Linked DNA regions of Alligator mississippiensis. The protein of the gene in region 1 purifies or fractionates together with the protein of each later gene. This does not show direct contact. Links are inferred from orthologs where the notes say so. Each region holds a gene or a part of one and is shown in the gene's direction. Other genes may lie near its edges.

Region 1 (3,745 bases):
CCACCTGTAGGTGGTCCCCGCCTGCTGCCACCACATCCCCACCCCCACCGCCTGCGGGTGGTCACCGTGCCCCCTCAGCCTCATGCCCGGGGTTGACCCCCGAGCCTGCTGCCAGCCCAGGGCCAAGCACCCCTGGCACAGCCCAAACTGCTGCGGTCCTAGGCGCACATGTAGATGCTGTACCACGCAGCCGTTAACTCCGGAGGGAACTGCACCAGAGGTTAAGGCACCACATGAATTGCGGTTAGTTAGCACTGATGTTAGGTAAGGTGTGCAAACAGGAGTCATAAGATAAAGCTGGAGATTCAGCACAGGAATCCGCCGTGGTGGCGCTTCTTGGATCCTCGCAAGAGGCAAACTGCCCGGTGCTCTTTCCCTAGTCAAACAAGAGTGAAAAGGGAGAACCGGCGTTTCCCGGGGGTGTGCTTCAGCCTGCCCAGGCCAGCCTCGGGTCCGAAAGAGCAGAGACCAGCCGCCGCCCTCCGCGCTGGACCCGGCCTCGGCCCGCAGTCGCTGCACCAAGCAGGGCGGGCGCTGCCCGCGGCCCGCAGTGGCTCAGGCCGACCGCCAGGGGGCGCCGCCGCCGAGACTCCGGCGCAAGGAGAGGGCGGTGGCGGAGGCGGCGCTCGGGCAGCTCCGCGAGCTCGGCCAGCACTCGGCTATTTCCGCGGCTGCTCGGGGCCCCCCCTGTGCGGGCCCCCCCCTCGGGCTCGGGCCTCGGCTGCTTCCGCCCCCGCTCGGGCATTTCCGCTCCCCTTCGGCTCTTCCCGCCGCCGCTCGGGCGGACTCGGCGCCCGGCCTCCCTCCCTCCTCCCGGCGGCCTGCCCCGGTAACGGTCGCTGGGAGTTTAAATGAGCAGGGGCCGGGCCGGGCCCAGCCGCCGCCGGGACACGCGCCGAGGCTGAGGCGAAGCCGGGGCCGAGGCCGCGCCGGGCGCCGCGGGGGCAGGATGACGGTGCTGCAGGAACCCGTCCAGGTACCGCGCGCCCGGCTTCACCGCCGCGGCCTAGCGGGGCCCGGCCCTTCGCCGCCCGGGCCCGCCGCAGGGCTGCCCCCGCCCCGCCCCGCCCCGCCCCGGGGGGACTTGTTGATTCCTCCTTTTGTCTCCGTGGCCCGGTCCCCGCTGCGGGCACGGCCCAGCCTCGGGCCCCGCGGGCGCTGGGAGGCCCCAAGGCCCGGAGCAGGAAGTCGCTTCAAGTTTGATTTTTTTTATTCCTTTTTTGCCCCTCCGGCTCTGTCCAGCAGCTCTGCCGCAGGGCTTCCCCTCCCAAGCAGGGCGCTCCCAGAACACAGGACTTGTTCCTTCTTCCCCACTTCCCATGTCATCTCCCCCATCTTGCTTTAACCCTCCTCCAGGCCTGTCCCAGCTGCCTTCCTCCTTTCTTTCCCCACCTCTTCAGCTCCTGTTTTTGCAAAGAGCAGCCTGCAGCCGCAAGCAGAACAGAAACGAGCACGAGCTCACGCACTGGGCATGGGTGACTTCCTGTGGGAGATGACCTCTGCTCCACCGAGTTCACGTGCCCCGGGCGATGCCTGTGGCGATGGTGCTCTTGTGAACAGCGCGCTGGTATTCTCCACGCTATGGCTGTAGCTCTGAAAATGCTTCCAGCCACCTAGCCATCTTTGGCATCAGGTCTGTGGCTGTAGCTGTTGCAAAGCATGGCAGAGCCCACCTGACATGGGAGTCTGTGTGAAAAGGAAGCGAGCACTTGCTTCTGCAGTGAAAGGGTGCAAATAATATCTAACACAGCAACTCAAGTGGGATAAACCTTCACCACTCATCTGAATATGGCAGCATCCCTGGTTGCTGCTTCGGTTTACCCCAGTACTTCTCAGCCAGGTGCTGCTGCTGTGGCCGCCATCCTGGAAACGGAGGCAGCAGGTTGAATGCTCCCATGTACCCTGTTTCAGGAAGTGTGTGGTGGGGGACCCAGACTGGGAAGGGCCCAAGCAAGAAGGCAGGAGCTAGATGGAGGCTGATAAGAGAGCCTTAATGCAGCAGGAGTGCACGTTTGCCACAGCTCTGCATTCAGGGCAGTTTTATCTGACTGCCATAGTGCAGACAACACCTGCGTTGAGGGCCAGGTTGAAAACCACTGATCTAACACTTCCACAAATGCCTGTAAGCAGCATCTCTGTTATCCTAATTAGATTAGCTAGGTGAAAAACAGTTGCTGTGCTGAGATTTCCCTGGCAGAGATGTGGAGTATTTTATTTGAGCAGCATTAATGGGTTCTTGAAATACGCAGATACTTCTACGGTCTTCTCTTCCAGTTTCAGCCCCTTCCCAAATTGGATATGCTTTTGATCGGGCTCTGCTTTGTGATCACACACACCCATTTGGGTTCTGCATGCTTGATGTATCCAAAAAAAGAAAAAGAAACCCTTTATTTTTCCTTTAGGTCTGAAGAGACTGATATGTTTGCGCATTTATATGTTATGGTTCTATCTGCACTTATAATACATGACCATGATTTGTCACTATCTTGGTCCAACTGTGGTTGCAGCGGTGTAAACTGTATCTTGGCTCATTTTAAACATTGCATGATAAGGTCGTAACCATACTTGGGTTCTCTTTTTATGCTACAGATTTCACCATTGCTACCATCTCTATTCTCTTGGTAATGTCAACGAAATGTGTCAGCCTTGATCATCTGTAGTCATGGGGTGTTTCTGTGCCACGGTTATGAACCATTAAATGAAAAGGGCACTGGTGAAGTAATACTTGATACCAAAACAAATTCCATGCCTTCATCCAAAAAAACTGTCACCTTTAGAATTATCAACATGACAGTGCTTTGTAGAGATTATTATTTACATAGTGCTTAGTATGTTGGCATTTTAAAACTATGTAAGATGACTGTTACCTGCCCTGAAAAGTTTCTATTTCAACATTCAGATGTTGCTACTTTTGCAAGGGGTATAGGTGGCAGAGTCTAGTCTTAAATAGACAACATGGCATTTTATGCTCCTAAGGAAGTAATCTGAAACTTCTGAACCTTAAATACTAATGCCATATCCCGTATGTTAGCAAGTTACGTGTATGCATCTCTGAAGCCAAAGGTTTTCTGAAATAGTGCTTAAGTTTCCATGACACTTCAATTCCACTGCTTTGATCATTTTGAGAAGCTGATATGAATTGCCATTACCAGCTCTAATGATGCACAGGTTTGATAGCATTGTTTGATGTTATGGTTGAAAACATGATAAAAACAGCAATGTACAGTAATGGCTAGTAAAAGTTTGCTGTTCAGTAGGAATAAAATGGTGTGAATCCATTGTACAGACTTGAGTTCTAGGACAGGCTTAGTTTTCTAATGATCTTCCATAAAAGGTTATGGGAATTGCTCACCCCACCCAAACTCCCAGTTAGCCTATTTTAGGATTTTACCTAACTCTCTATATTAGGTGTTATATTTTGGTTTATTCCCAGTATAGAGGGAAAATGACAGATGATACAGATACAGAAGGTAGACTAGTTCTACTATTATTCTACATTGGAGTATATTTTGCTTTGTAAATGCCCCAACGCACCTGATTGCAGCAGCAATTCTAGTCTCTATGGCATAGGTGCTCTTTGTCTCCCTGGAGTACTGGTACAACCACAATGTTGAGATTGCTGTAGTGGAGAGATGCATTAGACTGGTTCTTTCAATGCCACTGTTCAGACACTGAAACAAATGAAACAGCTGTGTAATCCATGTTCCTGTTAATGTTTCTATCTTGCAGAAAAAAATCACTATAG
Region 2 (3,745 bases), on another chromosome or scaffold:
CAATTATTTGAAGGCCAAGTACAAAATAGAAACAAACACAAAGTAAGTGTATTCTAACCACTTCAGAAAACTCCCTTGAAGAATACTTATTCCCTCCCCAACCCCTGCGCAGACACACATTCAAAGGAATTTTAGTACATTGACTTTGAGTCATTGAGCTTACCTTTCATACTTATAAATTATATTAGAGGATATTTTTTTCAGTTTACTCAATGGCTCTTTATTTGCTATTGTGTAGGATAGAAACTACAGCTTGCCTCATTCAAGGCTTGAACAAATCTGTTCCTCCATAGCCGTATTTTCTTGTTGAGCTTTTTGTGGCATCCTACCTACCCTTTGGTGGTCTCTTAAATGGAAGGCAGGGTAGACATGCACCTTATAAACTAATTAAATCAGAGATGCATAAGCTTTTATGAGACGGAGTACACTTCATCATATACTGTGAAAGGAGACCACAGAGCAGTCTATCAAACAGAAGTGATACACCTTCTCTATGGTCTGGCCACATTATGTTCTTCTACTCCAATTTGAAGTGTCTCCTCAAAAGCCTTGTGCTTTGCTACTCACAAGGAATCCTGTTCTGTTGGTGTCCTGTCCTGTTTGCCAGGATCAATGGAGCCACACGCAGTCACTCAACAAGTTACTATAGGCAGAAGACTGGGGTCACAACCGAGTATGCCTTGCAGTCCAAGGCCTCAGGCCAAGGGTTAAGGCAGTAAAGTGGCCAGGGCAGATGGGAGATCAGAGCCGAAAGGTCCAAACACAGCAGGGTCAGAAACAATGGCATGGCTAGGATCAGGCAGAAGCAAACAGGAGAAGGGAAAAAGTCAGGCAAGAACAAGGTAAATGTCCAAGAAACGCATACACAGAGCACTGTTATTGCGAAACACGCACATACTTCATACAATATGCATGCACACTTTCCCCCGTTATTGCTAGGGACAAGTCCTAACTCTACGCTTCCAAGCACTCTTGCCCTAGCCACTCCAGGGCGGCACTAGAGAACGCTCCCTCAAATGCCAACCCCGCGCGCTGCGTGCCGATCTCTGAAGCGAGACCCCCGCAAGCCAATGGAAGGGCACCCAGCCGGTTCGCTCCGCCCACAAGGGGAAGAGGAACCTGTCGCGCATGCGCAGCGAGGCGAAAAAAACCCTGCGCATGCGCTGGAGAGAAAGGCATAAGCGTGAGCGGCGGCGACTTGCCGGGCGTGTGCGCATGCGAGAGTACAGCGTCTCGGGGGCGGGGCCCAGTTTGAAGCGGGTGGCGGGGACGTGCGCCCATGGCCAAGCAGCAGAGCCGGGAGCAGGGCATCACCCTGCGGGGCAGCGCCGACATCGTTGCCGAGTTCTTCTGTGAGGAGCCCCCGGGGCCGGGAGGGAAGAGCGGGCGTCAGTGCCCGCGCGGGAGGGGTGGGGGAAGCATCGGGACGCTCCGGTGCCCCCCCCCGGCGCCATGTTGGATCTCGCGGGGGGAGGGGCAGAGCCAGGCCGCGCCTGCGCAGTAGTGGGAGAGGGGTCGGTCACCTGCTCACCTGTCCTCCCCCCCCCATGTCTCCTCCGGCGCATGCGCGGCAGCTTACGGCATCAACAGCATCCTGTACCAGCGCGGCATCTACCCGCCCGAGACCTTCACCCGCGCGCAGCAGTACGGCCTCACGCTGCTCGTCACCTCCGACCCCGAGCTGCAGCGCTACCTGGGCAGCGTCGTGGACCAGCTCAAAGGTTGGGGGGGGGCAGGGAACGGGGTAGACTCCGGGCGGGGCCGGCCCGAGCTTTGCTGCCATCTCACCCGCTGGGCCCTTGTTCCTGGCTTGCATTTGCAACCTCAGCTCAGTGCACTAAACAGTTGCGAGTCTGGTTTGTTTCCCAAGCTTGGGCACTGCGAAGATGAGCTTTGAGAAGGTGCCCAGGGTGAAGGAGCTGACGTTTCTCGCCCGCATTGCATCAGCAAGGCAGGTGAAATAGAAATGCCCCCCATAGCAGGAGTGGGATTTGTGTCCATTCAGGGGTTTGGAGCAGGTCACACAAGGAGCCATGGCTAAAAACAAGAGGTCGGGTTTCTCGTTGGTTAGACCAGGATTTGACAGGCTGAAAACGGATAATGGGTTTAATTTGGGGCTGGTTAGCCTGACTTGAACCAGGCGTTGAAAACACCTTTGTAAGGTTTGCTGGGAGTCACAAAGCTCAAATCTCCCCATCTGCAATTCCAGGGCAGCTCCAATGACTTGCCAATTAAGCTGCCTGGGTAAGGGCTGTCCTGTGCCTGTTTTGAAGCAGGACCAAGGTCTGTTTTTACCTAGTTGGTCTTTTTGTTCCAGGTTTTGACTCGCGTCAGTTAGGACCAGCCTAAATCTGGGTTTAAAAATCCCATTCATCCTGCCCTTTAAGTTTGACCTTCTCCCTCACTGACACTTACCTTTCTTACTCTGACTTTTTGATTAACTGCTGAGTTAACTTTAAATTGAGGGTCCTCAGTATCACTATTTTGCTTTGTAAACTGCCCAAGTATTAATGCAGGGCTGACAAAGGCTCCTCTACTTAAGTGCTGCCTTTTGCTGGTTTAGAGGGTCTCCTTTTTTTCTGATATGTTTTTCTCCTTCTCCTCTTTCCAGACTGGCTGTACAAGTGTTCAGTACAGCGCCTGGTGGTGGTCATCTCTAGTATTGAAAGCAACGAGGTCCTTGAGCGGTGGCAGTTTGACATAGAGTGTGACAAAACTGCAAAAGATGAGAGGTAAATGTAATGAACTGCACCATTGCAAAGCTGTTAGTTCTTACAAGCCCTTCCTGCTGGCCCCTCTGACAGACAGTTAATGCAGGTGTGAGCTCCTTGGTTCATATATTGAAGTGCCAGAGTGAATGCATTTTCTTTGCACTTTTGTTTCAAGATGATCCATGTCAATTTCTTAAAGCATCTGGGTGGTGGGGAGACATGTCTCTGAGGGTAATTATACTTCACTAGTAAATGTTCTGTATGTTTTAAACCAAATGAAACAATTTGACCTTGGATGCATGTGTAATTCATACCTGCAGTGCAAGCCACTAACAATGGAATTTTTTGTTTTTTTGTTTTTGTTTTTGTTTTTTTTTGTGGTGGGAACCTTTTCAGTATTATAAAATTATTAATTTATTTAACTGCTCCTCTGCTTACATCATGCTTCTTCTATTTGGTATTAGTTGCTTTGCTAGGAACATTATCATATTAACTCAAAATTGCAGGGAAATTCAGAGCAGTGCTTAAAACTACAAACACTGTGTAACACCACACAGAGCAGTATTGAACTAAAATTTAAAAAAAACTTTGACTGAATTTTCAAATCCTTATTATCCAGACTGTTTTGTTACACTGTTTATCCCATTGAGACTTCCGGTTCTTGAAACAGAAACTGTTTCACAACTTATGCTAAAGATAAAGCTATATTTGGAGAAACTTTCCAGTATAACAAAAGCCTCCTTTCTTCTCTGTTAAAAGAACTTCTTGTTTCTGTTGTAGCGCACCAAGGGAGAAGTCTCAGAAAGCTATTCAGGATGAAATTCGATCTGTTATCAGACAGATAACTGCCACTGTAACTTTTCTGCCTTTATTGGAAACCTCTTGTGAGTAGTCTGAATTTTTGTATTTACTCAGGCCTGAGTGAACAACTCCATCCCTGACATGAGATTGCCAGCTTCCAATCTGAATAATATACTATGTATATATTTAAATACTAAGCACTCCTGCTTTTTGAAGCCAAGGATATTAAAAAA
Region 3 (3,745 bases), on another chromosome or scaffold:
GTTTGTTATTATTAATTACACATCCATAAAGAGAGGACATTTAGGGGCAGCCCCGCGAGGCCGAGCCGCGCTTTGGGCCAGGCTAGACCCTGGTCGGGGGTGTCTGGGAGAGTCCCCCAGGGGTACAGTCACAGCGTGGGGTGGCCCGAGGAGGATTTCCAGCCGCAATCCCAGCCCGAAACCCGGTTCTTTACCCAATCCAATATACTTAGTTCTCGGCTATGGGGCTGGCAGGGGGCAGGGCCAAGCCGTGCTTTGGGCAGAGCTGTGCTCAGGGTCTTTGGGACAGTGCCTCGGTGGCATGGATGGGAAGTGTGGGGTGGCCCAAGAAGTATTTTGCCCCCTAATCCCATCCTCATCTGGGATGAGGCTCTGTACTTGATACATGATATTATTTTACATATTAATTATGGCTTTTAAGGAGAGGCTAAAGGAACTGGGCTGATTGAGTCTGGGGAAGGGAAGACCGGGGAATTTGATAGCAGCCTTCACCTCCCTGCCGGGGCTGCACAGAGGATGGAGCTGGGCTGGTCTCAGTGGGGCAGATGGCAGGACAAGGAGCAATGGGCTCCAGCTGCAGCGAGGGAGGTTGAGGTTGGATACGAGGAGAGACTCTCCCACTCGGAGGGCGGTGAAGCACTGGAGCGGGTTCCCCAGGGAGGTGGTGGGGTCTCTATCGTCTTTAAGCCCTGGCCGGGGTGATGTAGGTGGGGCTGGTCCTGCTCGGAGCAGGGGCTGGACTAGAGGTGACCGCCTGAGCGCCCTGCCAGCCGGAACTTCCTATAGGCTCAGCTGATGAAAGTCTCTCTCTTGAGGATGTGTCATTCATTAATTTATTGGGTCTAGATTCGTTTAGGAAAAGGAACCGGGACTAAACCTGCAGGGGCAGTGCCCCCGGGACAGGCGCGCACCGCCGCGCCTGTCTCTTTAAAAAGGGGCGGGGCGAGGCGAAGCGCTCCCATGGTGCCTTGCGGCGGGCGGCTTGGATTTTAAATCGTAGCAGCCAATCCGTGCGCGCGGGTTCGTAACGCTCCGGCCCCGGGTTTCAAATCGGTGCCGCCGCTGCCGCCGCCGCGCAGCTCGGGCCGGGGCCGCGGGACGGGGGACGGGGCCGGGGGCAGCGGGGCGGCAGTGGCAGAGGCAGAGGCAGAGGAGGCGCGGAGCAGAGCGGCAGCATGAGCGCGGTGTCCGCCAAGGGGACGCGGCCGCCCGGCGCGGCGGAGCCGGGGAAGGCGGCGGCGGCGGCGGCGGCGGGGCCCGGGGCGGGGGCGGCCGGGGGGCCTGCGGCCGCCGGGGCCAAGGAGATCCCGAAGGTGCTGGCCGACCCGCGGTCGCGGCGCAGCTACGTGCGCGGGCGCTTCCTGGGCAAGGGCGGCTTCGCCAAGTGCTACGAGATCACGGAGCTGGAGAGCAAGGAGGTGTTCGCCGGCAAGATCGTGCCCAAGGCGCTGCTGGCCAAGCCGCACCAGAAGGAGAAGATGTCCATGGAGATCGCCATCCACCGCAGCCTGGCGCACCGCCACGTCGTCGGCTTCCAGGGCTTCTTCGAGGACAGCGACTTCGTCTTCGTCGTGCTCGAGCTCTGCCGCCGCCGGGTCAGCGCGGGCGCGGGCGCGGGCGCGGGGCCCGGCGGGAACCGCCCATGCCGAGCGAGCGTTCCGCGCGGGGGTCTGAACGTTCCGCGCGGGGGTCCGAACGTTCCGCGGGCGAGTCCGAGCGTTCCACGCGGGTGTACGAACGTTCCGCGGGCGAGTCCGAGCGTTCCGCGCGGGTGTACGAACGTTCCGCGGGCCTTAAAGGGGCCGGGGGGAGGCGGGCTGGTAGCTGGTGCTCACGCTCCCCTCCACGCTCCTTCTCCCCCTTGCCCAGTCGCTGCTGGAGCTGCACAAGCGGAGGAAGGCGCTGACGGAGCCCGAGGCGCGGTACTACCTGCGGCAAACCATCCTGGGCTGCCAGTACCTGCACAGCAACCGCGTGATTCACCGCGACCTCAAGTTGGGCAACCTGTTCCTCAATGACGACATGGAGGTGAAAATAGGTACAGGCCTCCCCGCCCTGCGGGGCACGGGTTCTTCCTGGAGCTGTCGGAGCCCTGGGGTCCCTCCCTCCCGTGTCCGTGTGCAGCTGGGGTAAAGGGGTAAATCAGTAGCTTCTGCCACTGTGAAGCGGAACAGCAGCCTCTCACCCCAACCCTGGGCAAGCACGTCCCTCTGTCCAGGAGCAAACTCCACCAGGCACTCGAGATGGGGTCTTGGGAGGGTGTTGCTGCAGGTCCACGCAGGTGGCTCAGCAGGGCACGCCGCGGCCCTCGACATCCACAGGCAACAGCTGAGCCTGAAGTTAAGCCGATGCAAGCAAATTCTCTTCTGTCTGAATCTTTAAGGCGACTTTGGGCTGGCCACCAGGGTAGAGTACGACGGGGAGCGCAAGAAGACCCTGTGTGGTACACCAAACTACATTGCACCCGAAGTGCTGGGCAAGAAGGGGCACAGCTTTGAAGTGGACATCTGGTCCATCGGCTGCATCATGTGAGTTCATAGGATCGTAGGACGTGAGGGTGGGATGGGACCTCGGGAAGTCGCATCTAGTCCAACCCCTGCTCCAAGCAGGACCAGCCCCAGCTGCATCATCCCAGCCAAGGCTTTGTCTAGCTGGTGCTTAAACACTCCCGAGGACGGAGACTGCACCACCTCTCTGGGGAGCCTGTTCCAGCGCTTCACTACAGATTGGGGGTTACCTCTGGGGCATAAGTCCTGCAGCCTCCTGAACTCTCTTGCATGAACCCGTGACAGGCCGCTCTCTCCTCCGTACGCAGGTACACACTGCTAGTGGGGAAGCCGCCATTTGAAACCTCTTGCCTAAAAGAGACGTACATCCGTATCAAGAAGAATGAGTACACCATCCCAAAGGTAGGTGGGGCCTGCTGGAGGGCCCGTGCTCCCTCTCCAGCAGGGATGCCAGGGTGGGGCGCAAGCCAAACTCTCTTGCTTGCTGTGAAATGGTTCCTAGCACCCTGTGCACGCTCCTGGGAGGGGCCCTGGGTCTCTGGCTCCTCCGCTGCTGTCCACCAGGCTAGTCCATCATAGCACTGAGCCTCACAGGAGAGCTAGCTATATCTTGCCATCCTCAGCTCCTCCGGGCTCGTGCCCTGGTCTCTCCATGGCTCTGTTTGGAGCAGGAAAGCCCTGCATGTTGGGGGGTTTGGCCCTTCCACTAGTACAGAAGCACACCGGTCCCTTCCAGCCACAAACTGCCGGTCTCCTCTTTCAGCACATCAACCCGGTAGCTGCTAGCCTCATCCAGAAGATGCTGAGGTCAGACCCTGCCACCCGCCCCACCATTGACGAGTTGCTGAATGACGAGTTCTTCACGTCGGGTTACATCCCCGCCCGCCTGCCCACCACCTGTCTCACTGTCCCGCCGAGGTTTTCCATCACTCCCACTGCCCTCGACGCAAACGGGCGGAAGCCCCTTACTGCACTTAACAAAGGTGGGGCCCTGCATGGCAAAGGAGGGAGTGTTCAGGGCCTAGAAATGCCACGTGCAGGGCAAACGGTGTCTGTCCAGGGCTAAGAGCAAGCTACAGATGACAGCCAGAACCACTGATGAGCTTGCACGGAGGTCTGGGGTTCGTGGCAGTCTGGTGCTGCCCTTCCCTCCACAGGAGCAATAACTGACCCCCTAGCGGAGAGCCCAGCTCCTTGAGCTCTTGTCAGACAGTACCAAGGGGCTCACCCTGCCCCGT

The links.
Region 2: the proteins of CDC27 (region 1) and MAD2L1 purify together in Homo sapiens (affinity purification with western blotting; 29 studies listed by BioGRID and IntAct, with this or other methods). This does not show direct contact. The link is inferred for Alligator mississippiensis from reciprocal best matches to the Homo sapiens genes CDC27 and MAD2L1.
Region 3: the proteins of CDC27 (region 1) and PLK1 purify together in Homo sapiens (affinity purification with mass spectrometry; 4 studies listed by BioGRID and IntAct, with this or other methods). This does not show direct contact. The link is inferred for Alligator mississippiensis from reciprocal best matches to the Homo sapiens genes CDC27 and PLK1.

Annotation. Positions count from the first base shown.
Region 1 is NC_081827.1:158,874,705-158,878,449, forward strand, and holds the start of CDC27 (cell division cycle protein 27 homolog), read left to right. Parts: upstream 1-795; 5' UTR 796-949; coding exon 950-976; intron 977-3,745. UniProt on the Homo sapiens protein: Component of the anaphase promoting complex/cyclosome (APC/C), a cell cycle-regulated E3 ubiquitin ligase that controls progression through mitosis and the G1 phase of the cell cycle.
Region 2 is NC_081825.1:120,208,808-120,212,552, forward strand, and holds the start of MAD2L1 (mitotic spindle assembly checkpoint protein MAD2A), read left to right. Parts: upstream 1-1,206; 5' UTR 1,207-1,279; coding exon 1,280-1,352; intron 1,353-1,574; coding exon 1,575-1,721; intron 1,722-2,611; coding exon 2,612-2,732; intron 2,733-3,491; coding exon 3,492-3,595; intron 3,596-3,745. UniProt on the Homo sapiens protein: Component of the spindle-assembly checkpoint that prevents the onset of anaphase until all chromosomes are properly aligned at the metaphase plate.
Region 3 is NC_081836.1:58,699,401-58,703,145, forward strand, and holds the start of PLK1 (serine/threonine-protein kinase PLK1), read left to right. Parts: upstream 1-1,062; 5' UTR 1,063-1,175; coding exon 1,176-1,595; intron 1,596-1,869; coding exon 1,870-2,038; intron 2,039-2,383; coding exon 2,384-2,528; intron 2,529-2,815; coding exon 2,816-2,909; intron 2,910-3,270; coding exon 3,271-3,490; intron 3,491-3,745. UniProt on the Homo sapiens protein: Serine/threonine-protein kinase that performs several important functions throughout M phase of the cell cycle, including the regulation of centrosome maturation and spindle assembly, the removal of cohesins from chromosome arms, the inactivation of anaphase-promoting complex/cyclosome (APC/C) inhibitors, and the regulation of mitotic exit and cytokinesis.